Tamandua tetradactyla: one gene and its partners. The protein of the gene in region 3 interacts with the protein of the main gene of each other region in a pairwise test. Links are inferred from orthologs where the notes say so. Each region holds a gene or a part of one and is shown on either strand. Other genes may lie near its edges.

Region 1 (7,456 bases), on a different chromosome or scaffold from region 3:
TTGCATGTGTGTCCCCTCCATGCCACATGGGCGGCTGACAGATATCGTGAACAAGGGAGGGAGGGTTGAGTTTTTGGAAGGAAAATGAGTTTGTTCTGAATGCCCATCACAGGCCTGTTCTCCAGAGTGGGGAAGGGATCCGTGAAAGCCCAGCCCCTCTCTACACACACGCACACACACACACACACACATACACACTGTCACTTGTAATAGCAGGGAGTCATGGGACTCTACTGTCAGTAGTAAAGCTTTATAGCTTGCTCACCAGCACGACTTCACAGAATGCAGCTTTGATATTCTAAACATGCAATGACCCAGGCCATAGCTTTCCATGTTCACTTTGGCACACTGACTCCAGGGGTGACAGTGCAAATAATTATTTTGGACTCACAAGGACCACATTCTTCTCTCGAGATGTGCTCTTACAAAGCATCCCATAGCAAGGTTCACAGTCAGTTCAGATAAAGTCCACAGGGTGTGCTTGCAGGGTTGGACAGATGGATTTGTATTATTAAAACACCAAAAATATTACCGGACAATCTCCGGTACAGCTCTACCATGTCCATTCATTTTTTATTGTAGCCCCTAGCATGTATTTCATGCGTGGCTTATTCATTTTGTCAAGTAAGATCCATCTGCAGGGCTCTTGTACACATCCATTGTATTTCATGGCCCGGATTTGCTATCAATCAGTACACCCACATACACGCTTCCCTCCTTCACGATTTTTGAGTGTCAAGTATCTTGATAGCTTCAAACAGTTTATGAATGAGCATTGTCATAATGGCACTTTATGATTGGGAGTGGGAAGACAGATTTGGGTAAAATTAAAATAAAACCTGAAATTGGAAATTTCTCAGAGATCTCAAAGGCAACAAGCAGCTGGATTTGTTTTTCTCTCTTTTTCCTACCCTCCATACATTTCCCATGCACGAGTTTGGCCTCAGAACAAGAGAAGGGAAAGACAAAAACATAATCAGGGAGGCCTTCCTTGTCCTGCCGCCTTCAGTACAAGAAACAGGAACCACCTAGGGAGGCTTCAATAAATGCTCACTTCTAAGGAGAATTCTCAGACTGATTAGACAGGCTTAGGATTCTACCTACACTTCAGAAAAGTGATCGCTGATCCCAGAAACTTAGTAGGGAACCAACCGCAAACATTCTTGGAAGTGCAACTCCAAGAAGATCCTTCCCAACTCTGGGTAAACACAAATCCAACCTCCACATGGACACGATACTAACAAATAAGATCTCTCTTACCCCATCCATGTGGATCCTGATATTGGGCACCAGCCGGAAAGTGCCGGACTGCAGTCCTCGGGGGCTGGCCCTGCTTTTCGGGCTGTCCTGCAGGCTCCACACGCCAGGCCTGCGTAAGTGGCCCCCTCTGCCCAAGCTCTGCCCTGAGCGCACACCGTCCAGAAGACGCACGAGCAGCAGGTTGGCTGGCAGCGCCTCGATGCTGCAGAAGACCAGGGTCCTGCATTCTGGGCACCTCAGCTCTTTGCGGGCCTTGAAAATCCTCTGTAGACATGGTTTGCAGAAGGTGTGCTGGCAAGGGAGGACTTTGGCTGTGACATCGAGCTTTTCGAAACACACAGGGCACTCCAAAAGATCAAGTAACGTCACATCATCCATTTTATTTTAACACTCCAGTCCTGACCTGAAGGGGCAGCATCCACATTGTAGGGGCAGCCGAGCTGAGGGGGCAGTGCCGGTCTCTCCAGAGCCTCAGATTTCCTGCCTGTTTGAAGGGGAAAAGAAGGGAGGATAGAACTGTGACTGCTCTGAGATGTATATCCCACCTACATTGAGGCAATGTCTCATAAGGCAGTTTGCAAGTACTTTGTTCCGGCACCCAAGTTTCAAATGACTCATTCTGATTCAGTGCTAGCAGGTACAGGACTCCTGCCTGCTGCAAGGAACAGGAGCCAGCAGCATTCAGCAGAGACTGCGCACAGGCTCTCTGTGTGGAAAGGCAGAGAGCAAAAATGGCCTGCTGAAGTGGCACACCCCCTCTTCTCTGCCAGTCTGGGCTGGGAGGGGGTCCTTTAAAATCTGGGTAAAGCACTCAGACACTCTCAATTCTCAAATCAGAGCCCCTCCAGAATGTAATTTCTGTGAAGAGATCTACTCCTTCTCTCTCCAGGTTAATCTATTATCTGCGCCACATGCAGGTAAGTTTAGTTGATGTGGGTAAGTTTATCTGAATCACATCAGATGTAGAATTATTCCCTTCACAATACATCTTCCCCCATTATTTTTCATCTAACAATGTACAAGAGAAATCTCTACTAGCAACCCATTTTCAAAATTGTTTTGCCTCGACCTGGGAGCTTTCCTCTCTCTCTCTCTCCCTTTCTTTGCCTGCTCACCAAGATTGTCTTAAACAGCCTTAGAGACAAGATTCCTCCCGGCAATGTAAGGTGGCACAGCCTGTTGAGTTACTCTGACAAGTGTTTTCAATTTCAACTGAAGCAGGTAGGGATTCAGGACTGTGCCCGCAACCTGCAAAAACCCAGGATGGAACAGAACATACAGGTGCGGCAGGTATGCCTGCGCGCGCGCGCGTGTGTAAAGAACCCCTGTTTCAGGAACAGTTTCCCTGTGGACGCCTGAGAAGAAGTCTCCAGCTTAGGAAAGTCTCCTCGGAAAGAGTCAGCAGTCCTTCACACGTGCCCAGGTATGGGTGAACGCTGCAGCCAGGAAGGCCCCACCAGTAAGCACGGCGGACGGTACACATGAGAGATGGCGCCTCGCTTTCCTCGGCCACCTCTCCAAGGATGCCAGGCGCGGGCGGGCTGGGGACCAGCGGGCTGGGGACCAGCGCGCTGCCACTAACCTTGCGCGAGTGACCTCGGCGGAGTTCAGCTCGGCTCGCTTGTCCGCTCCGCCGCGCTCCCGGCGACTCGCTTCCTCACCCCCCAGTGCCGCCGCGGCCGCCTGGAAAACTTGAACAACTCGGAGTCTTACTCAACTCGAGGGATCGCCTTACGCAGCACTATTACCGCGCTCACCGCCCGGCTGCCGCGCCGGCAGGACTCTCCTCCCCCCACCCCCGCCCCGCCCCCCCAGGAGGGCTTCGCTTTCTGCTACGGAACCTTCCTTTACGGAACTGGGTGGATTTCTGGGAAGCGGTTATGAGATAGTACGTAAGCCAGCCCCCCAGGCCAAGTATTTCCAAAGTTTTATGTTTTTACCTTTGCGCCTTATCTTTCCAAGGCGAGTTAAAACGTGTTCAGTTATGCCAACGTGATTGTGCGGTTTTAAAAAAAACACAAAAAACTTTACAAGGATTTCTCTGAAATGGGCAGAAATATTAATGGTACCTCTGATAAACTCTTTCAATATACTCCGTCTCTTCAAAGAATAATAATTTTAAAAATGTCCCAGTAGTACATACATATCCTTGAAAAATAAAGTGTACAGAAGAGTTTTTTTTTACGGAAAAGCAATGCGCTCCAGCTCTCTGCTGTTCCCCCCACTGTAGTCTTTTTATGTCCCTAAATAATACTTATATTTCTTGGCTCATCGCTAATACATTTCATGGAAAGTTACAAAGATATCCAAGTAGAATAAATAGATAATAATAATAATAATAATACCACCTAACATTAGGCTATCCTTTTCCTGGGCCCGGAACCGTTCTAAGTGCTTTACCTTTATTACCCCATTTAATCCTCCAAAAATTCCTATGATACACTATACCCTTCTTTACTTTCACTTTGAAGTTAGATAACTTATGTCAGGAGTCACAGCCAGTAAAAGACTGGTATTCTGTGCTCTTTACTAAGTTAAGTGGTGATATAGCTTTAAAAGGGAGGATAGGTGAGCTAAACCTCATCTGGGGTAGCAGGAAGGCAAAAGTTAGCTGATTAATCAACTTTTGCAGACGGGGCAGCTCTGCCCAGAGAGATCAAGAGATTCCTTAAAGTTGCTCAGTGACTTCGAGGCAGAACTGAGTTCCTCTGATTTGTACTTGGGTGTTCTTTATACTATATCTTCTCTCTTATCATAAAAATGTCAATTCTTTATAATGCAGAAGGCATGTGAATACAACTCTATGGGAGAATCCTAAGAAGGGAGCAAGAGACCTGAAAACAGGTTGTGGTGGCTCAGGTGGTTATCAAAGTCTTTCCATGTCCAGTTTCGAAAATGTAATCAAGCATGAAGCTCAAAATAAGGAAGAACAGAATTTTAGGATGGAGTAGATGAAATCATCTGTCTTCTCAGCTCTGACAGCCTAATCTTGATATGTGTCTATTTCAGAGGCTGCTTTCAGCTCCCTTTTTATTCATCTCACTTTCTAGAAGATTTTTGAGCTCTAACAGAATCACATCCCCTTCTGTCTGCCTGCCTCCTTCAGTGAATTTCCCCTCGTCATTCAGTGCCCATTAGGAAGTCTCTTGTAGTTTGCAAACCTTTTGCTGCCCCTTATCCTGTTTCCTATTTAGCAAAGCTGATCTGGTCTCCCCGTGAGCTCTCCTGCCGACCCTCACCCCTCTTTGGAAAGGTCCACTCCAATGTTGGAGCTCCCTGCTGCTGCTGCTGAAGGTAACACTTACTCCTTCCCTGTCTCATTCCTATGCACACTATGTATACCCACCTCTGCTCTAACACACACACACACACACACATCTATAAGTGCAACACAAACACACACATACTTTTAATAATAACACTTGCTGTATGCTGCAGACCTAGTTAAGACTTTAAACAGATTGTCTCATTGAATCTTCTCAGCTGCCCTACAAGTAAGCAGTTCGGTATGGTAACTTTCCCAGGGTTACAAAGCTTGTGATGCGTCCCCAGCCTTGTTTAACACCAGGGCCTGAGCTCCTTGCTGTTATTGCTTCCCATGGCATAAAGTCAAGTACATGTTGTAAGTTCACTCATATATCTTTGCTGTACAAATCCACACGCACTAATCCATATATTCATATCACACACGCCAGCTGATCCCACGGCCAACCTCAAACAAAATGTTGAAGTCTGATGTGCTTTGGCTCCTTTGGCTCTCCCTCCTTGCAGCTTACCCAGACTCATGGCCCCTCCATGCCCCTGTGTGGCTGCTGGTGTCAAAAAGCTTCAAACTCTCCCAGCCTTGAGAAAAAGGGATCAAACCAGCTGGGCCCCAGGAAGGCGGGACAGATTCAGTGTATTACTCTGCCCAAGCAAATCTGACATTTAAAAAATCAGCCAAACAGAATTACTGATGGTAGAAATTTCGGCACTAGTAGCAGGACAGAGAAAATTTACGGTGAGCGGAAGAGGGTTCTTTTAGGACCTTTCGAATCACACCCTCTAGGTGGTCCCCAACACCACCCACACATGAGGTTAGTTTTGGTGGAAACTGGAAGAAAAATTTTCCTTTGAAGCCTTTGATGAAGGAGGAGAGTTTTAAATGGGGATTTCACCCCAGCTTACCCAAACACTATCTTGGCGTCAACTCAGATGAACATCTAGTCTTTAAAAAACAAACAAAAAGGTCAACTATGCATGCTTTGCCAGACTCTGGGCTCAGGCTATCAGCTCCACTGCTCCCATTCCATCAACCCTACTGTTTATGGTTGTGTTGTTACATGCTTCTTACCGGTTTTCCTCTTTTTAAATACTTGCATGATATTTATGAGCTTCTGCTATTTGTATTTACAAGTACATCTTCTAAAGTTAGATTTAAAAAAATGAAATCTTACCGTGTGGTTCCCCAGTTCAAAACCTTCAGTAGGTTCCTATTGGCCTTAGAATAAAATCCAAATCCTTTTCCTGGTCTATCGGTGTCTGCATGGTCTGGCTCCAGCCCATCTCTCCTGCCTGACCTGTCCCCATATTTCCTCCTCACCACACATTGACTCTCTCTCTTTGCACTTAGGGCAGTTTATGTTTTTCTGACATAGGGTATTTGTGTATGCTCTACTCTCTGTCTACAACACCCTCCTAGTTACTGTTTTCCTCCTCCTCTTTGCATTTTCAACCACTAATCATAATGCATGTTTAGCTTAGATGTCACTTCCTCGGAGAGGGTTTCTTTGGTTCTCATGATTGAAAGTTTATCCCCCTACACTTCTCCTTTATATTGGTTATCACAAGTGTAATTTAGTAAATTATTTTTATAATGATTTATTTAATGCCTGCCTTATCCAAGGAGCTTAATTGTCTTGACATTGCCCTATTCTTGGAACCTAACACAGTGACTGGCATATGGTTGATGTGCAATATTTGTTGAATGGGTTTATAAATGAATAAAAGAATTGTGTTCTTAAAAACTTGTTTATATCTGGAGAGATGCACATCAAACTTGAAGTTAGAAATGGTTTTATATTGCACACCTCTTGGATCACACTTTGAATCTTCTTGGTCCCACCTCTTACTAAGCTACTGCCAAGAAGGCTTTCCCAAATTCAGAGGAGGCCACCTGGTAGTGTCTCCCCTGGGGGCCCTACTGTGAGCTCTTGTCTACTGCCCCAGAGCTTCTCTGGTGTTGCTATGTGGAATACCCGTGGGAACTTGCTCTGCACCCACGTGTGCACAATCCTAGAGAGGGCCATCCTTGACTAGTGGGGGCAGGACTCTATGAACGTATGCTTCCTCCTTTCATTCTCGCACTCAGGAAATTTTGAAACGACGTGAGGTTCTGCAGGCTGAGCGCCATTTGCTTATTGAATGAATAATGCAATGATGCATCCTTGTATTGGCTCTCCCTCATTCCCTTTTCACTACTCTTTCCCTCACTCCAGATCACAAGGAAACTACCACAAGCAAGATTTGCCTAAGGTTAAGAGAGTTTCTTTCAAATTTAAAACTAAGTAACAAAATGTGCAGACAAATTATCTCAATCAAGTTTACTTACTTATTGGAATTACAATTTTAGCAATGTGCTATTTTCATTTGACTCTGGCTCTTAACCCTTTGGTGGTCTCAAGGTCTCTGCCATGAAGTAATTATTTGTAAACAATCCTGGAATCCATCAAAGGAGTCAGGTAGCTGGAAATCCAAAGTTTTAGAGCTGAGGGAGTCACGAGGTAACCTTGTGAGGCTTCACTATTGCTGGTAGCCTTGTTGGAGAGACCATGTTTTGTACTTCTTTGCACTCTCCCTTCAGTATCTACTGTAATATTGGCTATATGTTTAAATATTTGAATGCAAATGTTATCTATTTCCATGGTGCTGAACTTGCCCATGTAATTTGGCTTTTTAATAATACTGGGTAATCTTTGGAACTATTCAAGGAGAGAAATGATTGGAGGAAAGTGGACACTTACCATTAGTGAAAAAAGTGAAGGAAACAAGAATGGCAGGAATTGAATTCTTATTAGAATTAAAATTAGCCAGCTATTAGACATGTTGGCTTTCTGGAAAGGTGCAGGACTAGAATGACTCTCAGATTTCCTCTCCATTCTGGAGGATGTTTGCCGGTAAAGAGCATACTTCATGACATTCCTATGCAATCACCAGA
Region 2 (6,977 bases), on a different chromosome or scaffold from region 3:
CACGCTCATGTATGCACACAGAAACCAGGCTGCAAGCAAGCTGGGCTATGATGTTGCTTTGAAAATTCAGTTTTAATGTTAAAGAATCAAAATAGTGCCTGCATATTTATTCTCAACCCAAACTACGGGGCTGTATTCCAGGGCCACCAGCTATAAGGTTTGCCTCATCGATGAGGACCAGTAGTTGGGGCTATCTCAGCGTGCCTCCCCCCCCCACGCGCACATGCACGCGCGCACACGCACAGAGCCTGCCCTCCGCCCTCCCACTCAGTTGTCAGTAAGTGGCCCTGCGGCCTCAGAGGCCGTCGATTTGGAGCTTCTCTCACACCACGGGTCCTGGGAAGCAAAGTGGTAAAAACTCTGGGGCGAGATCCAGTTCCCTAGCCCCACTCCTGACTGGTCTTCTGGCGACTTTTGGCTGTGTTCATTCAGCAGCTGGACGGGTGGTTACATGGACAGTCCCTGGGGTGGAGTGAAAGAGGAGAGGGGGATGCTGCAAAGGCCCAGACACTTGGGCTCCTGACTGGGTAGCAAACGAGGGACACGCAGCTAAGGAGCAAAAGGCAGCTCACTCCACCCCAGGCTTTTGGGGGGTTGGGTTGGGGTCAGATTCCTTCCCCTGGCACGTGGGTACCCCCTCCAGTTCTCCCCCCACCCCCTCAGACTTTCAACCACTCTCTCGATAGCTATTCCCCCAAAAGTCTCCATTTCTTAACCACCAACCATCCCAGAAAGAGAAAATGAACGGCCGCTGGGAGTGCCACCTCTCAGGGCAGGGCTCGGCTAATCCCCCAGCTAGCCAGGAAGGAGAGAAGGAAAATCCTGTGGGCTGCAGGGGATGGTTCCACAGGGACAGAACACAAAGTGCTTTGTTTGCTCTAGGTAATTGCTCAGCTCTTGCTCTCAAAGGGCTGCATTTCCCCGGAGGTTAACCCTATGCAGACAACCAGGAAGCAGAGAGCAGAGGTCCCGAGACCCCTCTGTGGCAGGCAGGCGCCTTTCCCACCTGGCACAGATCCCAGGCCACCCAGCCAATGGCAGTCACTTTGGGCCCATCTCCTCCCTCCCTAGAATAGACGTAAGCAGGTAAAATTTGGGGGTGCCCCTTTCACTACACCTGCCCCCCCCCACACTACTCCTGGGGATCCAGGTAACTTCGTTGCCCCTCAGTGGACATTTCCGCTTTCAGCATCAACAGTGGAGGAGATTAAAGAAACCCAACACTTCAGGATGATATGCTAAGTGAAAGGGCAGCCCTTACTCCCTTCCCAAATCCCCACCCTGTAAAACTCAAAGGATCCGTGCCTTTGTGCTAAGCGCACCCCCATCCCAGATTTCGTCCACATCTCTGAGTCTAAACTCTTCTTCCGTAGAATTTAGGGGCGCATCCGCTCCTATAAATGTCAGGTGACCATGTTGTGTTTTAACTTTCCCAGGATGTTTTTTTGTTCTTTTGTTGCTTTGTTGTTGTTGTTTGTCTTATTTTTAACTCCAACTAAAGAACTGCCCTTTAAATGGGAAAGGGGTAGGGGGTTCTGAGAGGGCCGTTAGGTGGTTCCCTGAGGTGGTTAGAAAAGCCCCTGATATACAGAGCCTCTGTCCTACTCCCCCAGGGAAAGACGATCAACGAAGTCATTACATTTTTTTTTTTTATCTTTCTAATCACCTGAGGATTGTGCAAATGAGGGAAGCAGGGGTTATGCAAGAATGAAAAGAGGGGAGGTTTTCCATCCCCCAACCATTCTGGAGCCCCAAATCGAGAGCTGTTACCTGAAAGGGATGGAGAAACAGAAATCCACACGGTTCCTAAACTTTTTTTTTCCAGCCAGTTCTACAGCAGTCCTGACGTTACTTGGCTGAATGACTAGCTGAGGTTACTCAAGAAAGATGTTTGTGTGTGCGTGTGTGTTTTTAATCCTCATCGAACCTATGAAAATAAACAAAGCTGCGCCTAGCATTTTCTCTGCCTTTCTGAGTTTTCTATATGTGGGGGTTTGATTTCTTTTCCAATTCTGCCATCGCTTCTCGTGTTTGTTAAAACTTCCACGGGGGGCCTCGAGTCCTTCCCGGAGGAGAGAAGAGCTCTCCTTTCCCTCAAAGCGCACGGCTTTGTTTCGGGCACCGGGAAAGCCAGACCGGATCCCTGGCGGAGCTGCCGCGGGGATGGGACCCGGTCTCCGAGCCCGGTGCGGCCCGGGCGCAGCCGCCGCCGCCCGCAGGTGACCCCACCGTGCACCCGGGTCGCGAGCGGCGCTAAATGCCACCTGGGCGAGACGAGACGCTTTTAAAAAGCACTCCGTCCAGCTAGAGTGTGACCTCCAGGGAGCACCTCCGACCTCCAGGGAGCACCTCCGAACTCCCCGGAGGGGCAGCGGGGTGGGGGTGGGAGTGAGAGGTGGCAGGGGCTTCGCCGGCCCCGGGTGGGACGCCCCCGCGCGTGGGAGGCGGCGGCCTTACCTTGCGGCTTGGAGGCTTCGGTGGCATTGGGCGGGGTCATGGCGATACAGACGTCCCCCTCGGGGAACTTGTCACACTTGAGCATCTCGGGCCAGTAGAAGCCGAAGAACTGCATGACGGGCTCGCACGAGTCGCGCACGGCCTCGCAGAGCCAGCGGCACGGGTAGATGGGCCGGTCGAGGCAGACGGGCGCGAAGAGCGAGCAGAGGAAAACCTGGGTGCCGATGTGGCAGTTCTTGTTGAGCAGGGGCACCCAGCTGCTGGCCTGCTGCTTCACCTCGGCCATGGTCTCGTGCTCCAGCAGGTTGGGCAGCACCATCTTCTTGTAGCCCACGTTGTGGCACAGCCGCAGGTCCACCGGGATGTCCACGCACTGCGGCGGCTTGGTGTAGAAGCGCCCGCTCTGGTACGAGCCGATGTCCGACTGGAAGCTCACGTAGTCGTACTCGCTGGCCGAGCCCGCGGCCAGGAGCCCGGCGGCAAGCGCCAGCAGCACGCCCGAGGCGGCCCAGCGGCGGCCCCCCGCGCCGCGCCCGCTGCCCATGGCTGGCTCCGCGCGCTCGCACCCGCGACGTCGGGGCTACCTTCGCCGCCTCCCCGCGCGCGTCCCGCTGCAAACTTCTCGGGCTCCTTCTAGGAATGTCCGGGGACAAAAGGCGCCGTCGCCAGCCCCGAGCCGGGCTCCGCGACCGCACGCTGCTGTCCCGGTGCTCGGCAGGTCGAGGACCCCGGCCTGCAGGAGGAGCCGCGGCGTGAGCTCGCGCGGAGAGGGCTGCGCAGGGCGGAGCGGCGGAGCCGACCGAGTCCCGTGCGGGCTCCCGGACGCGCGGCCGGCGGGCGGGCAGGCGGGCGGGTGGGCGCGCGCGCAGCACCTACTCCCGAGGCCGCAGGACTCGAGTGCCCGGTGCTCGTGTTGCAAAGTCCTCGGAGTCTCCCCGCGCAGCCAATCAGCTCCCGGCTGCTGCGAGCCGCACTCATTTACCACGTCAGTCACCGACTCAATTAACCAATCGCTTCACTGGCTAGAGGGCCCGGTTTACTAGAACCAAACACAGGTCAACACCCCTTAAGAGACAACACCAAGAAGAGGAAAGAAAAGAAAAAGAAAAAGGAAGAAGGGAAAAGGGAAAAGGAAAGAAAGGAGGTATAGATACAAGGGTGGGGTAGATAAAGAGAATGTTTAATGTTCTGATTAATTCGAGGTGGCTTGCAGAAAAGCAGGGAACCTCAATATTGCTTGCAAACCCAGGAGATACTTGAGACTTTTTTTCTTTTAACCCTTTTGCCTCCCGAATTTCAAGCAGCAGCCCACCAGGCTAGCGGCTCACCAACTCGGATTTGTTTTCTGTAGCTGCAGTACAAAGACAGGCCGTTTCAAGACTAACGAGTTCAGAGAGGCTGAAGGGAGGGAGGTCTGCTTTTAAATCACTAGCAGCGCAGGCTCGCCTCCTTCAAAGGCGAGGGGAAGGTTTCCTCGGACCTGTTTGCTCTTTTCAAAATGTAACATCTTTCCAGGTAAGACATCAGGAAACTGACCTTCAAGCAACACCTGAGGCCCTGCGTGAATGTTGCTCAGTGTGGTGGGAAATATTTCTCAGGAAGAGACAGTCAGAACCCCTATACCCAAACCCCAGCCCAACAGCACGTCTGTGTGTGCAGGCGTATACACACTGACATAGTTGTGGTGTAGAAAGCCAAAACATTAAAAACACATGTGCACTTATCGGCGTAGCTTGTGTAAATATCAAGTCCGTCACTCAGGCACACATGCTGCATTTAGACTGGGTCCAGGAACTCAAGTGTCAAAGCCAAGGGTCCTCGTTAAGGCACAAGGCAAGAGGAAGGTACTAGAGACAAAGCACAGCTATCTCATCTAACCAACTACACCCCCCCCCACCCCTACACACACACACACACCCAGTAGCAGGAGTCTCCCTTCCACCCTCCACCTAGGGAATTCCTAGGAATTCTCTGTGTGTTCCAAGCCTTCTCCTGAGAGGGAGGGTCAAGCCTCAGAGAGCTGGGGTATGGCTATGACTCAGTTCCAGAGGGGGGAGAGAAAATAAGCAGTTTATGAAGTTTGCTGGATTCTCACACTGCTTGTGTCCTGCAGTGAGGGCCGAGGGAGGCAGAGATGCTGAAAATCATTTCTGAGCCTTTTGGCAAATGGACCTCAGACCTTAGAACTCAAGGCGGACACCATAGGAGGCGCTGCCTTGCCAGGCCAGCTTGTTTGTAAAGCTCCAAGGAAGCTTGCTTTGGGCTCTGCAAACCAAATTTCTCGATGGAGAGATTCCAAGTAAAACTACTGGAGCTTGTGAAAAAGCGGGGCTATTTTCTTAAAGCTGTGGTACCCAGAAAGAGATTGTCATTCCGCTGCACACACAGCCAGCATCTGCAGATAGTCAACTTCTCTGCCGTTTTTTGGCCGATGAAAGATGCCCCAAAGCAAGTGGGGACAGAATGGGGAGAAAGAGATAGACAGCGAAACAGCAAGACTTTGGGTGGCAAAGGGTTAATCCCAAAACAATTGGTAATGCTCTGTCCGAGAAATTCCTCACGGAGAATAGACTGCAGGAGACCCAGCAACTGTGTCTCAAGTCAAGGGACATTTAGAGAAAAAATGCTGTTTGGTAGGGAGTCATTTTCTCTCTTACAGCCAGGCCCTCAGTCCCAAGCCAGATGTGTCTGTTTACTCACTCACTGGAAAGAGTCGTGTTTCTAGATAACATTCTCTCTTTTCCAAATCCAGGTTTAGCTGACCCCTCATTCATATGTGTACAGTTTCCCAAATGTACAAGAAATAGAAGACTTGGGTCTGTTCACCCTTAAAATTCTGGAGCATAATTCAGAATCCCATCATGGAAGGGTTCTACCTTATCTCTGGTTATTCGTGATTGGATCACTCCAATCTCCAACTTCTCACCCCACCCCCCAAATGGTCTTCCTGTTTTAGAGATACGCCTCCTGGGACATGATAGAGATTCAGTTGTCACCTGGACAAAAGGGGAGTGGCTGCACAAATCAGACCTCAGAATTCTAAAACGGGTAAATTTCTGGCTCCTCCTAAGGCCCAACTGGACCGGAAAGGAAGGAGTCTGGTCCCAGCCCCCTTTGTCCACGTGCTGCCACTCTACTGAGTCCCTGGCTCCCACCAAGAGACTTTTACACACACCTGAAATTTTTAATGACCACCTGCTGCCATGCAGTACACATACTGTATAACAGAGCCCTGCGGAACTTTCCTGAAGCCTCCATACAGTATTTTTGTGGTTTTTACTATTGTCAGACCTTTACATTTCAAAGTCCAGCCTCTCTTTTCCTAATGGCAAGAGTGTATGTGTAGAGGGAAAAATTCTAGAACAACAGTTCTTTAAATAGGTTCTTGGCATGACAGTTCCCAGAAATCGGGGTTCCTGAGAATGAGAACTGTCGGCCAGGAGGCACACCTTCCCTTCTTCTTGAATGGTTTAAAAGAACAGGGAAAATATCTCTCTCTTGGCCAACAGGGCGAGCAAACTCACCGCCCTCCCCTTCTCTACCTGGGACATGACTCCCTGGGGTGTGGACCTCCCTAGTAATGTGGGACAGAAATCCTAGAATGAGCTGGGACTCAGCATCAAGGGGTTTTGAAAACCTTCTCTATCGAAAGGGGGAAGAGAGAAATTAGACAAAATAAAATGTCAGTGGCTGAGAGATTTCAGAGTCGAGAGGTTATCCTGGAGGTTGTTCTTATGCATTGTATAGATATCCCCTTTTTAGATTAAGGAGTATTAGGCTAGAGGGAAGTGCCTGGAGCTGTGGAGCTGTGTTCCAGCAGCCCCGTTTCTTGGAGATGGTTGTATAATGATATGGATTTCACAGTGTGACTGTGTGATTGTGAAAACCTTGTGTCTGATGCTCCCTTTATCTAAGGTATGGACAGATGAGTAAAATATATGGATTAAAAATAAATAAATAATGGGGGAACAAATGTTAAAATTAAAATATATACGTATTGGATAGATGGAAATACTAGTGGTCAATGAGAGGGAGGGGTAAGGAGTATGGGATGTATGAGTTTTTTCTTTTTTCTTTTTATTTGTTTTTCTGGAGCGATGCAAATGTTCTAGAAAATGATCATGGTGATGAGTATACAATATGTGATGATATTGTGAACAATTGATTGTACACCATGTATGGAATGTTTGTATGTTAAGAATGTATGTGCTTGTACATTGTTGCGTCAATTAAAAAAAAGAGAAGAAATACTGGTGGTCAATGAGAGGGAGGGGTAAGGGGTATATTAGTATGTTTTTTTCTTTTTTTTAATTTCTTTTTCTGGAGTGATGCAAATGTTCTAAAAATGATCGTGGTGCTAAATACACAACTATGTGATATTGTGGGCCACATTGTACATCATGTATGGACTGTATATGTGTGAAGATTTGTCAATGAAAATATTTTTTAAAAAATAAAGAAAATGAATTTTAGAAATAAAAATAAAAGAACAGGGACAAAATACAACTTTAAATCTGTAT
Region 3 (7,704 bases):
AGATGCTTTTGCAAACTACAATGTGAAGTAAGTTACAACCACTTGCTGTGCAAGAAAAGCGCTAGCCATCACTGACCCTTGAATGGGGTCGCTTACAAAATAAGTCTGCCCTCAAAACTGACCTTTCTCCAATGTACAATATCCGAATACTGATTTCTTTTCTCTCTAAATCCCCCAAGTTTTATTGTGTAGTATTTATATAAGTGAACCTCAGTCATACTAGGAAATAACTTGAATAATTTATCTATCAACAGGAAGGCAGAGCTTCCTTGGATAAAATTTCTGAGGTGGGACACAGAAGTGATACTTCAGCTTAAGGAAAAACTAAACATTTATAGTAGAAAAAGAACTGCGAAGCTAGTGAGTAAGGTCTAAACCAGCATTCTGTTTTTCTTAAACTGGACTTAAGTTTGAGTTGTCTTTTCAGTGCTAACCAAGGACTTACACTGATAGCTTGTACAGTCCTTGACCATAAAGATCAGACACTCTGAACACATAAAAAATGTCTAACAATGTCACAAAACTCCTTTTCTCTCCATTTTCAGATTTATTTAATCTAATTAAATTTTTTAGGCTTGAAAAAGGCTTTTGGGGCATTACAAAATTCAATAACTTTATTGAATCTCTCAACTTTGATGGATACTTATCCTCAAGGAATCCTCTTCAACTGTTTCCCTGCCAATCTAACATCCATGAGACAAGAATTTAACTATGTTGTGCAGCTACAGTATTCCCAAGGAATTAAAATGCACTGCTTTATTCTATTATTTGTAGTGAAAAATGAAAATTTCAAAATCTGGTTTTCAAGTACAGCATAACGCATTAAGAGGGATTATTAAGAAACAGTGATTGATCTCATTTTACATGAGCCAAGCTCATCAAGGCAACAAGATTAAATTAACAAAGCCTGTTATGTGACTACAGAGACAATTATGGGCAAAACCAGAACTTCAGTTGAGACCTAAATACATATATATATTCCTGTACAGAAGTATAGTTAATTTAAGATTTTAAATGAAAATATTTAATAAAAGTTTCTTTCCCACTGCAAAAGTTTTAATCAGTTTCTAACAGAGTACTGCTACACAGAAATCAAAGAACTGTACTGACTAGTACGGAAAGCATTTGAATATTTTTTATAGCCTGTGTTTCTTATAATAAATCCCAGGAACTGAATGACAAGGATTTCACCTGCAAATGGCAGTGTCATTAACAGCACTTCAGGGTTTCTTATACATATTCTGTGGGTTGTTCTTTTAAGAAAGCTAGAAAGTACTGCAAAAGAAAAAAAAAGGCACTGATTTAAGAAAAGGAAGAGTTTTTTAGGAGTTTCATTTTAATGATTTACTTCAAAAGTTCTGCAAATTCTAACACCAGAGGTGCCCAACTGTTCATACTCTCCTCTATCACACATTTAAATTCCAACAATATTTTAGGACAGCATAAAGGCAAAAAGCAGTTAAAACTCAGACAAATCTACACGATTTAGTGCCTAAATCAAGAATGAGAATTACTTGAACTCTTCCAAAGTCTGGGAAAGATGTTTGTATTAGGAGATATGCTCTGGAATACCCACGTAGTTCTATGTGGCCTCCCTCTTTAAAATCTGAAGCTCACCGCTTTCCATATCAATAAGAATCAATTGCCAGGCACCTCACAAGTCTTAGGTCCGCCAACACGAAAGCTTTAACTTAACCTTTTCTTAACCATGGGACACTTCCATTTTCCTTTACACATTGGGTCATCTATAGGATGAGAGTTGAAATGTAGAGAGTTCTGGCTCCTGGCTTTGAAACCTGTCACTACCTGTGTGACCTTGGACAAATGACTTCACCTCTCTGTGTCTTAAGTTTCGTATGTACAACGGGAAAAATAATAGCACCTACCCCATAAGGTTATGAGAATGAAATTAAATCTGTAAAGGGATGCCAGACACATAGTGAAGTCCTTAGAAGTGTTGGCTATTATTATTGTTAGAATCTGAAGAACGCAAAGCGCTGGACCCAGACCCTGGTACACTGGAAAGATAATGACACAGTCATCGCTGATTTCAAGTTCACAAGCACGCTCATGAAAAAGGGCGCGGAGCCCTATCGAAGATAAGGAAGGATAACTTAAAAGGTTATCTGGGGGTTAGGGAGAGATGAATTCTTACGTCCCCTTCAGATAATGAGCGTTCACTACCAAGTATGAAGAAATGGAACCCCGACCCCAGTCCACACACACAAAAAAGAAAGCAAGATATGAATAAAGCCCCCAAACCCGATGAAACCAACTCCCCTAATAAATTGCTTTTTGAGAAAAAGTACCAGAAACTCGATCCTGGCCAGAATAAAGCACGGTACACGCCGTCCTGCAGGTTGAACCGAGCCCCCCCAATCTCCTCTCCCAAGACCCGTCGTCCAGTTTGCCGGGGGGAGAGGGGGGGATGGGGGAGGAGAGAGTATGGGTGGGAAACGTGGGGGTAGGCGGCGGAATTTTCAAATTTTACAGGCAGGAGGAAGGCTGCAGCCTCGTGTAACGAATGAGCCGGGCCGGGAGAGGCCGCGGGCTGGGTCAGGTTCGGGACCCGGCCCGGCCTCCCTCCGGCCGGCGGCAGCCCCTGGCCCCGCGGGCCAACTTGCGGGCTCGCTCCCCTCACCGCCGCAAGCCCAACCGGCTTCCCAACTCCCCTCCCGCGAGCCCCGGGGCCGCCTGCCGCCCCTGGGCCCAGCTCCCCTCAGCCCGCCCGCCGCCCCCCTCACCTTCCAGCAGCCGTTGGATGATGCTGTCGATGTTGAGTTTATCTATATCCGCCATCGCCTTCCCGCCGCCGACCCTCCCGCAGCGGCGCCACCGCCGGCTCGCGCTCGGGACCCACACCTCCTTTCCCACGCCACGAGCACACAGACGGTGGTGGCGGCGGTGGCAGCAGCCGCGGCGGGTCCCCCCCCAGCCGCCCCGCTCCCTGCTTCCTCCTTCTCTCCCCGCTGGAACCACGAGAAGAACAAAATGGCCGATGACTGCTTAGCCAGCCTCGGGCGGCGCACGGATGCGAGCGGGGGAGTGCAGCGGCCCGGCCGGGACTTCTTTACGGGCCATAGGGCGCGCCGAAGGGGGCGGAGTCCGGACGCTGGAAAGGGGGCGGAGCCAGAGCGCGGGTAGGGGCAGGAGACGGTTGAGCGTAACTTGCGAGCGCACGGGATCCTTCCGCCAAGCGGGCCGAGCAAATAGGCCCTTCTGGCCGGAGCGGGAGTTGTAAAGTTGCACGCGGGAATTGGGGCTGGAGGGGACGGTCCAGATATGCGCCCTAGCGACTTCGGCCTTCGTCGGATCAAGTTCTTTGAGGCCAGATGTTTTCAGACCTGGCATGTGGAAGACCGACTAGGCATTTCAAGGGCTCCTGGAATTTGCCCTTTAAAATAAATCTGGTTTGGGAGTGGAAAGGGAGATTATTAAAGAGAAGTAGGTAGACTTCTTTTGCATTCAAATTTTCTGGGATTGAGAGGAGAAAGGAGAGGTTTGTCTGGTTGCTTTAAAAACCCTTTCCCAGATAAGTCAAAATATTGTTGTTTATTCTAAGGTATGGAAATGTGCGTATCTGTATATTTTGTGTGTCACTTCTGTGAGTTTTTACATTAAAAAAGAAAAAAGCTTAAAAAGTCATCCTGGGACGGTGGCTCACAGGGTGGTGGCTCAGTGGCAGAGTTCTCGCCTGCCATGCTGGAGACCAGGGTTCGATTCCCGGTACCTGGCCGTGCAATTCAGAAAAAAAAAAAGTCATCCTCCAAAGAAAATATCCATCCTCTCTATCTTTAGATAATCTTTTTGAAACTCGGGAAGTTATAGTATCATCGGAACGGTAACCCTCAATCTAATCAGAGCCAAGTTTGCAGAAGATAAAGGGAGAATGTGTAGATTTCTGAGTTTTTGGCCGGAAGAACGAGTTGGCAGAGGCTGGTAGTGCGGGGGGAGGTCTCGAATTCTGCGGACACCCCGGGAAACTTTGGTCCATTTCCTCGGGCTTCCCAGCCTCCCCAGCGGGCATCCCTCTTCAGGGCGGGGCAGAAAGTGTGCGGCTTCCGAGGGTTGCGCATCGCCTTTAGCTGGGTTTGGAGGTGCTCTCTTTTCTGATCTTTCCCAGTAATCCGTTCTTCTCCTGCTGCGCCCTACAGTAAGTTTGCAAGGCCCTTTGCTCCCACAGAGAAATTCAGTTTGTTTCTCGAGGCATGCAGGGTGCCCGAATCCCCATCCCTAAATACTAGCAAGGTGATTACGCTGCGGGCATTCATCTTCGGAAGCAGCGCCCTCCAAGGGGCCCAGGCAGGCCCCCTGCGTCCTGGCTTGCGCCCCTGTCGCCGCTGGAGTGGAGGAGCTGGTGTCCAGCCGGCTCTGCACAACCGCTAACTCCACTCTCCCGAGTCGCCAGCTCACTCCCCCGTGCTGAGGCTCTGGCCACCAAAAGCCACACAAGTGTCATTTGTAAGCCCAGGGCACCGAGCCCAGTCGGTGACATTCTGACGGGTGCCCAGCACTGCTGTGATGGCTCACACAGGAGTCCACGAGACCTTGAGCTCCGCGGTGGGCAGGGCATGTCATTGCCAAGGCAATTACAGCAGGAATATGAAAGACTGCGATTCATTCAGCAAACAGATATTTACAGAACATGTACTCTGGCCAAGCATAGTTCTAGGCCGGGAAGCAAAACAGACAAGCTCCTTCTCTCGTGGACAGTCAGCTAGTAAGCCAGCCAGACAGTAAATCAACAAAGACTCAAATAAAAATATCAGCTTCTGATAAGTGCGGCAGAAAAAAAACAAACACTGCACTCACTTTCTTCATTTGTGCCAAAACATTATCTCATTGAATCCCCAAGACAATCCTACGTGTTGTGTACTATCCCTACCCATCCCCATTTTACAGCTGAACTGAGGCACAGAGAGACTAGGTCACTTGCTGAAGGTCACACAGCTAGTAAGTCAGAGGCTGGAACCTCAGGAGAGCCTGAGAGCAAAAGCGTTCATATTCAATAAATCCCCATTGTGAATTCCCAGCCCCTGACACAATCCTGGCGCACACCAAACACTTCATAAACGCAGAACCCAATGGAGCAACCCACGCATGTATCTTCCCACAGTAAGAGTGCCGTAATTTTCCAGCTGCAAAATGGAAGGTGTGTTAACCTCCACTGACATCATCAGTTCTGGAGGAGGACTTGGGTCTGGGCTGGGACATAGGCTGTGCCTCTGTCCACATGCCACTGTAAGTTTGGGCAACTCCCCTCCAGAGTCCAGTTTCGCTGGCACATGCCTAAAGGAATTAGCCGACTCAGAGCCTGAGAGCGAGCTCACACGGCTAAGTGTGAACAGATCCTGGGAATCGGCAAACCGCTCACAGAGGAAAGAACCGATTCCTTATTGGCCTGTTTCTGCAATAATCAATGCTGGTGGTCTCCCTAAGGACGAGGCAGACACATTCATTTCACCTGAAAGGGTGTTGCCATTTACTGAAGGGTGCCTTCCTCCTCTAGGCCTCAGTTTGCCAATCTGTAAAATGAGGAGAGTGGGTTAAATGTTACTTCTTTTTGTACTGCCTTCCTTGGATCTACAGAACTTTCTTAGAGAGCTACTGAGGAGGGTGGGAGCTAACGGGTTCTGTTTCCAACCCCTTGAGTCCAGCAAAGTAGAGGCATAACCCACAGTAAGTATGCAATCAATATTAATTATCCTTACTTTTATCTAATACATTGAGCTTCCATTGAGATTTGGAAAGAGGGGCTATGTCTAAAATATTTGAAAACCAGTAGTATCTCTCAGGACCCTTTAGAGTTTGAGGGGGATCCGAAGCCTACGGGGACCAGGCCGACAGCGCGAAAGAATTACGTTGGCTGAGTAGTGACTTTTATGAATTGCAGAGCCCACTCCCCAGCTAGGGGGTGTCCATTTCCCAGCTCCAGTCCATGGGGAACATAATGAGCCCAGTATGGCCAGATTCTCTGATTTTTTTTTTTCCAAAGGATCTTGGATATATGGATTTTTATGTGAAATGTTTCAATTTGTAAAAGATGGTTGTGAATTCAAATCCTTCCAAAATATGGCACAAGGCAGACAAGCATGTGTGGGGGCTGCAGTGAATGGAAGCTTTCTGGTAAAGCCTGCAGCTTTATTTCAATGTCCTGTGAAATTACCAGAAGTCACTTATTCTTTTGGAAAATGTTTATTGAGGCTTTACAAGGCTCCAGGCCTTCTGCGAGAAGCTGGGGACACAGTAGTAAGCAAACCAGACAGTCCTTGCCTCGTTGAACTTCCAATCTGGTGGAAAAGATGGAAAGGAACAGATAACTCAATCAAAGAAGATAATTTCTGAGAGTGGTAAATTGCTATGAGGAAATTAGAAGGGCTCATGTGACCACATAGGGAGAGGGACTCTGAGGGGGTGACATTTGAATAAGACCTGAAGGATGAGAAGGAGGAAGTCATGGGGAGACCTGCAACGGGGAAGAGCATCCCCAGCAGAGGGAACCGCGAATGCAAAGGTCCTGGGGCAGGAATAAGTTTCCCGTGTTGGAGGAATGGAAAGAAGACCAGAGCAGCTGGAGTGTAGAGTGAGGAAGAGAGTATTAGGAGGTGAGGTCGGAGAGGTGGCCAGCTGGTTCATGGCTTTATAGGCCACGGAAAGTCATTCAAATTTTATTCTAAGCCTAATGGGAAGTCACTGCAGGATTTTGGGTCAAGGAGTAACATGATCTGATTTTATATTTTTAAAGACGCTTTATATTTTGGAATAATTTTTTATTTACAGAAACATCACAAAGATGATACAGAGAGGTCCCTAATACCCTTGACTCAGTTTCTCCTAGTGTTTCATCTTATATAACCATAACATTACTCTTTTTTTCCATGATACCGAAATCATAAAGAAAGGTTAGATCATGACATATCAGGTAGCATCAGAACTCTGAAAGCATCTTCACCTAAATAAGATCTGATTTCATTTTCTAAAGATCTCTTCAGTTGCTGAGGGGAGAATGGACTGTAGGTGGGCAGGAGTGGGAGCCCTGAGACCAGGGAGAAGGCCGCTGACAGGTGCGGCTTTATCACTCTGAGCCTCAGTTTCCTCATCTGCAAAGTGAGAATGACATCACCCATCTCAGAAGGTCATTGTGAGAATTTACCTTCCCACGTGCTTGGGGACTTGGTAAAAATAATGGTGACAATGCTGACGGCGATAGTTGACATTTACTGAGTGCTTGCTATGTGACAGTTTCTGTGCTCACGGCTTTTCCTGCAGAATCTTGACGCTCATCCTCACCCCATTTTAGGAGTTAGGCTGGGAAAGAGGAGATTATTTGTAACCCCAGCTAGGGAAGGACAGGGCTCGGATTTATCTGACTTCACACCTCCTTTCATCAAACTGAGGAGTCGCGTTTTTAGGGATGAGGGAAATTGAATTCTTTGGGCCAGGAGTTCAGATGTTCCCAGAATCCTTCTCGGAGGAGGGACATTTAGATGGGTTCTTTCGAAATCTCTTGAACCATCTTCGGTCCTCATGAGTCTTCGTTGGCGTTGGGCGAGTCTCTCTTTGTGAAGGCCCCAAACACCCTTCCAGCTCTACTTACCCAACGGACAAATTAGGATGATTTGCTAATTTGACCAATACCGCCTTGCTAAATGTTCCTGAGCTTCACAAAATGACTCACTCCGCAGTCAGGAAAGCAGCAAGCTG
Region 4 (8,013 bases), on a different chromosome or scaffold from region 3:
ATAGCTTTGGGTTCTAATGGACATAAGTAAAGACTACTAGTATATAAATAAAATATTAAGTGTCTGCAAATGACTTAACAGATTAAAACCATTTTAAAACTCTATGGCTATTATAGGACCTTCCCAATCTCTGGAAAAATTAAACCATGCACACATAAACAAGGTTTAGTTTTTCTATTCCCTGAAAGAGTGAAAAGTTGAAGACTGTAAGGAAACTACTGAGCGCTGCCAAGCCAAATGGAAAAAGCATTTTCCTGCTAACAGCTACACACCAGCATCTTCGTTTTGGGTAACAAACCTCTTTGTGAGAATGAAAAAAAGGGGGGCGGGGACCACTTGCACAATTTTTAATCTTATGAATTCAGAAATCTTTAAAAATATGCATTACTATGCCTCAAAAAGTCATGCTACTATATTTAGCCATATCAAAACAAAATAGTGTCAAGAGAGTAAAAGAAAGAAAAGAAACAAACCTTTTTTCTTTTGATATGCACATATCTTTCTCCAGAAAGAACTCCACACTGTGCCAAGTCTGGACATTCACTTTCTTGGCTCCCTAACAACTGTACCTTACAGGAAAGTAAAGCTTTACACTCAGAAACAGCCACAATAGATTCAAGCGATCTCTCCAAGTCGCGATGGCCTTTCCAATTTTTCCCTGATGTTTGAAAAGGAGCCTTAAAATTTAAAAGGTTGTAGGGGTCACCGGAATTAGAGAAAGAATTCCACAGTTTGAGATTTTCTATTTCATCTGCACTAGACATGCAGTCATCTTCCTCTTCAGAATTATGGTAAAAAGACTCAGAAAGTCTTCCAGTCTGGGGAGAATTCTCTAGATCAGACTTGTCAGACAAATTCTTCTCTGAATCAGAAGGGTCTCCAGGAACAAGTCTGGCAGCAGTCTGAATTGGTGCTGTAAAGTTTTGGGGATTATAAGGATCTACACTGCAAAAAGAGTTCCAAAGGTGAAGCCCTTCAGAGTCTTCTTCAAGGTCTGATTCTGAAAGTGGGCTTTCACTATCAAAACCATCATCCTCAGCTTCTTCATCCCAATGGTCATCTTCAGAATCAGAATTTGTTTCCAGGTCGCTGGGTGGACCTCCCAAAATGTAATCTATCAATTTGTTACTACAAGCTGGTCTGGCAGAAACGGGAAGGTCTTCTTCTATGTCTGAGTACTCAACTACCCTAATGTGGTCCTGTTCAGACTCTGGTGCCACAGACACCTCACAAGATGGACAGCTTTCCAAAGGGTCCTGTTTTTTCCAAGTAAGTGGAAGCTCTTTGGGCAACAATTGTATTTCTTCTTCCTGAGCGGTTCCAGGAATGGCTCCTGTAGAGGGAACAAGCTGTGTTGGGTTATCTCTACAATGTTTCAGATCAAGCTGCAGAAGGTTGTGTTCCTCCTCCAGACTGTGGTAGCCATGATCTTGGTCGGGCGTGGGTAATACTTGCCCCTTGTTAGCCTGCTGAAGGAATTCCAGCCTTTTCATGCGAAGATGGTGGATTTCTGGCAACCCTTCTCTAGAAAGAGGTGGACATCCCTGCCAGGAGGCTCTAGTGATCTCTGTACTCAGTGGCTGGGGATGACAAAGGTCATCGGCCAGACTGTTACTATTTAGGGTTAGTGTCTGGATATCAACTAGCTCGCTACTTCCAACACTATTCTCACAGCTGAGCTCTACCGGGGGAAGGCAATCCAGATAGGAAGGTTTTAGCAAACAGGAGACTACGTTGAAATTGCTTAAGTGCTGAATGTCTAGAGACCCCGAAGGCGAAGAGCCAGGTTCCTGGTCAGAGAACAGACCAGCTTGAAAGCTACTCGGCAACAACTCCACTCCCCACAGCTGTTGCTTTACGTGAAAAGCGTGTGCTTCAGGGTCCAAAACACTTCCCTCGGCTTTAAGTTCCAATTCTAGAGCTGGGGACGAGCACTGCCAGCGTATCCCCTCCTCCAGCCAATCAAGGGGGCTGGGATTCGAGTCGTCCGAAGGGCCAAGCCGCAAGCAACTCACAGATTTCTGCGCTGTGGAGGTGCCTGGCTCCTCTCGTCCCCTCAGGGCTCTCAGGACGCTGTAACTTCCAGCAAAATCTAGCCATCTGGTAGGAATCATTCCACCGAAAAGCTGGCTCCACATCAGCAGCTTCTGAAACAAGGTGGGGAGCGGGGCAAATAGCTGAGAAAGCAGCTTCATCCAGTAGCTGGTCCGAACCTGGGGCTGGGGAGAGGAAACCAGGTGAGGGTTCCCGGAGTTTTCTGGGGCGGCAGGTGTCGGGAACTTGGAAGAAGAGCCTGGTCGTGATCGCCGAGGAAAAAGGAAGGACCGCCAGAACCCCGAGCCCACCTGAGCGGCAGACCGTTTTCGCGAGCACTCTGCGCTCGGCTCCATCTCCTTTTTCTTGGCAATCTCTCGGGTACTCGGAGTTCAGGAACTGGAGATCGGACGAGATTCGAAAGCGGCCTAAACAGCCTCGGCCTTGACGAGAGGCGGAATCGGTGCTTCGGGCCGATCCCTAAGCCAGCACAGGAGCCACAGAGGAAAACGGGTTCGGCAGCAGGCGGCAGACGACAGTCCGAAAGGCGAAGCGCTGGGCGCGGCAGCGGAGGCGAAATCCATCCTGGCAGAGGAGGTGTTCTAGTCCGTCTGAGGTCTCACCACCATAGATCGGAGGCCTCCCGCGGCGGCGGCGACTTTCCACAAGAGACTGACGGTTAAAAAGCCCTTTAGCAGCGCGACCACGTAAGGGCTGGGTAAGCAGGCAGACGCGGGTGTAGGCAAAGCCCAAAATGGCCGCAGGGTCGGCGCCGAGGCAGGACACCGCCAGGAAACTCGACAAGACGAAGGATGGCCGGCGTCTACGCCACTAACCCCGCGTCCCCGAACGTCACTTGCCGACACCGGTAGGCGGGTCTTTTCGCACACTTCCGTGTTGCCGCTGATTGGGCACACCCTATCTCCCTGTCTGCTTCCTTACTCTCGGTAGACCCGGCTCGCACGCGGGAGGTTGCATCAGCCGTGCAGAGTTTTACGCATGCGCAATTGTTACCCTGAGGTCTCCTAGGAGATCGCCCCAGTCGCCCTTTGTGCTAAAGGGGAGGGAGGTGGGGAGCGCTTCAAGATAGCTGGAAAATTCCCTGGAGCCATTTTAATGGCCTAATGCACTTTTAATGGCCTTATGCTAGACGTGCATATATCGGGGTTCCAATATTGTTAATGCTGAGTAGATCATCAATCTGAGATCTTAGTATATCTTATAATTTAAGAGTTGCGCATTAAAAGACTCAATCTGAGGTAGGACTGAAAAAAATCTTAAGTGAAAAATGAACCATTCCTATACATTCCTACCCCCTCGGCTTTAAGGTTTCCGAACCACTAATGTCTGGATCTAGTTTTGGGATCCTCCAGCATGCAACTCACATACATCCCCATCCAGGTTTTGAACTTGCATTTCTCGGGTGATGCCTCCCTATGAGGTTACTTTCTTTCACTGTGGGGCGAACTGAAGCCACAGAGAAGGGAAGAAACTTAGTCCTTAGAACTGTTTACTCTCATTTATGCTTCCCAGAATGCCACATTTTCAATTCATATTTATTTCCTGAGCTCCCAGAATTATAGGGTACTACACTCAAAGAAGGAAGCACTATCCTTTGGAAGAAGTTTGGCTGGTGATTTAAGTTGCTATATTTTATTCTTTCTTGTGAATTTGGTCTTAGTTCATTTCCTTATTTCCCCCAAAACTTTTAAATCAATACCCCTGAAGTCAAGTATTGCAGAGGGAGGGTAGCAGTAGTGAACACTAGTTATAGCAGAAAGATCTTTAGGAAACCAGGAGGAGGCCAGCTACTCCTCCTACTTTATTAGGTCTGTTCTAGGAACAGTGGCCTTTTTTTAGAAAACTAAGAGGTCCCATTTCTATTTTTTAATCAGCTTATCATGATATCTATAACTACTCTCAATTCTGTCACTGACTGACATCATATCCCCCTAAAATATTTTTTTAACCTTCTTGAATGGGCCTATGAAGTCATTGGCTCCATAAATTTTATTCTTCCTTACTTTTGGATGTTGTTCTAGAGGGAAAAAATACAATCATAAAGTATTTGAAATCTATAAAATATATGACTTTGCCTTGTAAGTCTTGACAGGAAAATAAACTGTGAAACAGCCTCTTAAAGCCTGCTACCAACTAGAGGGAAGAGGGAGGACGACTCTACACAGAGATAATGTGTTGCCATGGCAGTGTGCAAGCTGAGGAAGACAAGATATCCTTGAACTGGCAAGCTGACAGGTACTTTGGCAGAAGATTATGAAAACCTCAGTTAATTATGCTTGTTTTAAAAGATTTTGCTGGTCCTGAGGTAAAGAGTGTAGAGCTTTTGACTTTTGACTGTATTTTTCAGAGTCAGCATCACCAATACATGCACACACCGTCAAGATCTGATTTCCATGGAACCCACACTGGCTACCACCTCCTATTTTCCAACCCACTGCTACCTCACTGAGACCTCCAAACTATTGTGACCTTACCACTTATTCATCATTTATCACACTCTTCATTTTCCTCGTTACCCTACATGAATTCCATGATCCAGTACCCCTATCCAGACCCTTAATTCTCTTGCCCTTCTACACCTGCATTTTTCTCTGGCAAAATTCCAATCGTAGTTAAACCCAGCTGTTTACTTACTCTGAGCCTACACCCTTGCTGCAAAACCTTACTGGAGAAAATCGCTCAAGCTTGCTGACTCACTTCATATTTGGGTTCACAAATTTCACCAATTCCAGGCACTCCTGTGACAGTTCCCTGATAGCTTTGCTTCTCCTACACTCTTTTATAATAGTTCTTTCCTCAAATTTCTAGCATGCTCCATAAACATTCTCAATTTATGACCACACCTCACACTTCACTGAGAAAATAGATTTGTTTGGGCATAAACAACCTCATCTTTCTGACTCCATATCCATCAATCTACATTCTCTGCCTTCAATCCCAGTAGAAGATGCCACCCAGACCCTATTTTTCATGTCTACTCAAGGAATTCTGAGCTCCATTATCCTTTCTTCACCGTAAGTTTCTGTCACTAATAGATCATTCACCTTAACATAATTTAGCATCTCCTATTTTAAAAAATATTTTTAAAAAAGACACCCTAGATACATGACCCTCCCAATTTCTGCATTACCTCAGCGAAATCTCTCAAGAGTTGTGTATACTCATAGTCCCCACTTTCTCATCACCTGTTCTTGCTTCAACCTATACCATTGTAGCTTTCACCCTCACCACTCCTTCAAATATCTGTTATTAAGGTAACCAAGAGTATTTTGCTAAACCCAATTCCCTCACTATCTTTTCTGAAGCCCCCACAACACCATTCTGGCTTTCCTACAATCTCAGTAGCTGCTGCTCCTCTAAATTTTGGCATGTGGCAGAGCTCAGTCCACTCACATCTTTTCTCCTCCCTCTTTAACCCAGGTGATTTCATTTGGTTCCATGGCATTAAATGCCACCTAAATACTGATGATTTCCACATTTAGATTTCCAGATTCACCTCTCCCTTGGGCTACAGATTCCATACTTCTACTTCTCCACTTAGACGTCTGCCAGACATCTCAAACTTATGATTAAAACTACTCTTGATTCTGCTCCACCAAACCCATCTTCTCCATCTCAGTGCTGCCACCACAGTACTCCACCCAGTTACCAAGGTTCCAAACTCAGAAGAGATCCTCAAATCTTCACTTTCTGTCACTCTCCTTCTAATCCATACACAAATCCTGTTTGTTCTCTCCTCAAAATTTATCCAAAATGTGATTACTTTTCCCCATCCCCAAGTGTGCTGGTTTGAAGCTTTTATGTACCCCAGGAAAGGCCATGTTCTTTCAACCCATTCTCGTGGGGGCAGACTTATTGTAGGTGGGACCTTTTGATTAGGTTGTTTCTATTGAAATGTGATCCAGCCCATTCCAGATGGGCCTTAATCCTTTGCTGGAGTGTTTTATGAGGATAAACAGAGAGAGCTTAAAGGGAGAAACACCAGAGACATTTGGAGCTCAGAAACAAAGGAGGACCAGCAGACACCAGCCATGTGCCTTCTCATGTGACAGAGGAACCCCAGATGCCAGCCAGCATCCTTTCCTCAGAGAAGGTATCTGCCTCTTGATGCCTTAATTTGGACATTTTCATGGCCTTAGAACTAAATTTGTAAGCTAATGAAACCCCATTGTAAAAGCAAAGCCATTTCTGGTTTATTGCATTCCAGCAGCTTCAGGAAACCAAAACACCAAGCCACCATCATTTCTACTCTAGACTACTACAAAGTCTTCTCTTCTACCTGCTTACATTCTTGCTTTGCACAGCAGCCTGAATGATCTTGTAAAATGTAAATTGGAACACTGCAGTCCCTTTGTCAAAACTCTCTAATGGGGTTTCCATTCTACTAAAAATAAAATTCTGATTTCTGATTGACTTTAACACTCAGTTCAAATATCTCCTCTGTGGCAACCTCTCTGCCTCAACCCACCCCTCTCCTTTTCCACCATCCTACCTTGTCCTTACCATAACACACTAATTATCTGCTTTCATGTCTGCCTCTCTAGCTAGACTGTGAGTTCCTTGAGGACAGGACTCACACTTTTATTATCTTAATAACCATCATACCTGGCACCTCACCTGACCCAGAGTAAGCCATCATGTTTGTTGAGCCAGACAACCCTAAGGAGGTGAGAATTACCTCCCAACTTGTGGTGCCTCATTTTTAACCTTTCAAGTCCAAACTAAATTTTGCCCCCCAAATCCCAGCAAGTCGGGTTGTTTCTCGGCCACTTCTCCAACTCAAAGAAACCTCACCTCCTGGGCTTCTTTTGTTTCTCTTCTCCCTGGACAACCTCACTTCCCATCCCCCAGCTCTCTCATTCCCACTCCCTCAGGGTAGTTCAGATTTCTACCCCATTTGGCCAAGAAACTTCCTTAACTAAGATTCTTGTCAGATTCAAGTTCTAACTTTTAAAAGGTCCACAGGGACACCTCAAAACCACTTAGAAATACAGCAGGTAACATTTCCTGCTGTTTACTACTAAAAATCCCCCGAAAGCCCCACTAAATTGCCCAGCATGAAATGTGACTCCCCACTGGAGAATTTTGAAAATTTCCAGGTAGAATGTCCCCAGAAAGATTACATTGCCTCCATCCTCCATTTGGGGGATTCAATTTCTATTTGTGACCCCAGCACTGTATTTGGTAGAGGGCCAAGTACAACTCCAGAGCACATCAGTCACACTGTACTCTTTGTGAATGGAGGCATATGCCACTGGGTAGCACTGATAAGCACAATAAATGTCTGTTGAAAGAATTAATGAATGAGCCATACCTACTTCCAGTAGTTGTAAAGAAAAATATCATGCATATTAAAGCACTTTAAAAACTATCAAGTATTAGTGATTTGAACAATGAATAAAAAAGTATTTGCAAAATTGGGTAGATGGAAATACTAGTGGTCAATGAGAGGGAGGGATGAGGGGTATGGTATGTATGAGTTTTTTCTTTTTTCTTTCTTTTTCTGGAGTGACACAAATGTTAAAAAAAAAAAAATGATCGTGGCAATGAGTACACAATTATGTGATGATATTGGGAGTCATTGATTTTTAACCATGTCAAGAATGTTCGTATGTCAAGAATGATTGTATGTCAAGAATGATTGTATGAGCTGAGACTCAGCATCAAGGGATTGAGAAAAACCCTAGAATGAGCTGAGACTTAGCAACAAGGGATTGAGAAAACCTTCTCTACCAAAAACAGGAAAAGTGAAATGAGACAAAGTGTCAATGGCTGAGAGATTCCAAACAGAGTCGAGAGGTTATCCTGAGGTTATTCTTACTCATTGAGTAGATGTCAACTTGTTATTCAAGTGTAATGGAGAGGCTGGAGGGAACTGCCTGAAAATGTAGAGCTGTGTTCCAGTAGCCATGTTTCTTGAAGACAATTGTATGATACAGCTTTCGCAATGTGACTGTG

What was found.
Region 1: the proteins of PPP1CC (region 3) and SH3RF2 interact in a two-hybrid assay, tested with the Homo sapiens proteins (2 studies listed by BioGRID and IntAct). The link is inferred for Tamandua tetradactyla from reciprocal best matches to the Homo sapiens genes PPP1CC and SH3RF2.
Region 2: the proteins of PPP1CC (region 3) and SFRP1 interact in a two-hybrid assay, tested with the Homo sapiens proteins (2 studies listed by BioGRID). The link is inferred for Tamandua tetradactyla from reciprocal best matches to the Homo sapiens genes PPP1CC and SFRP1.
Region 4: the proteins of PPP1CC (region 3) and PPP1R15B interact in binary tests that used the Homo sapiens proteins (3 or more experiments, as listed by UniProt). The link is inferred for Tamandua tetradactyla from reciprocal best matches to the Homo sapiens genes PPP1CC and PPP1R15B.

What each region holds. Positions count from the first base shown.
Region 1 is NC_135346.1:26,405,028-26,412,483, reverse strand, and holds the start of SH3RF2 (E3 ubiquitin-protein ligase SH3RF2), read right to left. Parts: upstream 3,002-7,456; 5' UTR 2,843-3,001; intron 1,784-2,842; exon of another isoform or gene 1,745-1,783; 5' UTR 1,639-1,744; coding exon 1,261-1,638; intron 1-1,260. UniProt on the Homo sapiens protein: Has E3 ubiquitin-protein ligase activity. Acts as an anti-apoptotic regulator of the JNK pathway by ubiquitinating and promoting the degradation of SH3RF1, a scaffold protein that is required for pro-apoptotic JNK activation.
Region 2 is NC_135329.1:16,791,855-16,798,831, forward strand, and holds the start of SFRP1 (secreted frizzled-related protein 1), read right to left. Parts: upstream 3,002-6,977; coding exon 2,458-3,001; intron 1-2,457. UniProt on the Homo sapiens protein: Soluble frizzled-related proteins (sFRPS) function as modulators of Wnt signaling through direct interaction with Wnts. They have a role in regulating cell growth and differentiation in specific cell types. SFRP1 decreases intracellular beta-catenin levels.
Region 3 is NC_135331.1:11,472,288-11,479,991, forward strand, and holds the start of PPP1CC (serine/threonine-protein phosphatase PP1-gamma catalytic subunit), read right to left. Parts: upstream 3,015-7,704; 5' UTR 2,800-3,014; coding exon 2,745-2,799; intron 1,226-2,744; exon of another isoform or gene 1,211-1,225; coding exon of another isoform or gene 1,192-1,210; intron 1-1,191. UniProt on the Homo sapiens protein: Protein phosphatase that associates with over 200 regulatory proteins to form highly specific holoenzymes which dephosphorylate hundreds of biological targets.
Region 4 is NC_135330.1:61,877,268-61,885,280, forward strand, and holds the start of PPP1R15B (protein phosphatase 1 regulatory subunit 15B), read right to left. Parts: upstream 3,002-8,013; 5' UTR 2,391-3,001; coding exon 474-2,390; intron 1-473. UniProt on the Homo sapiens protein: Maintains low levels of EIF2S1 phosphorylation in unstressed cells by promoting its dephosphorylation by PP1.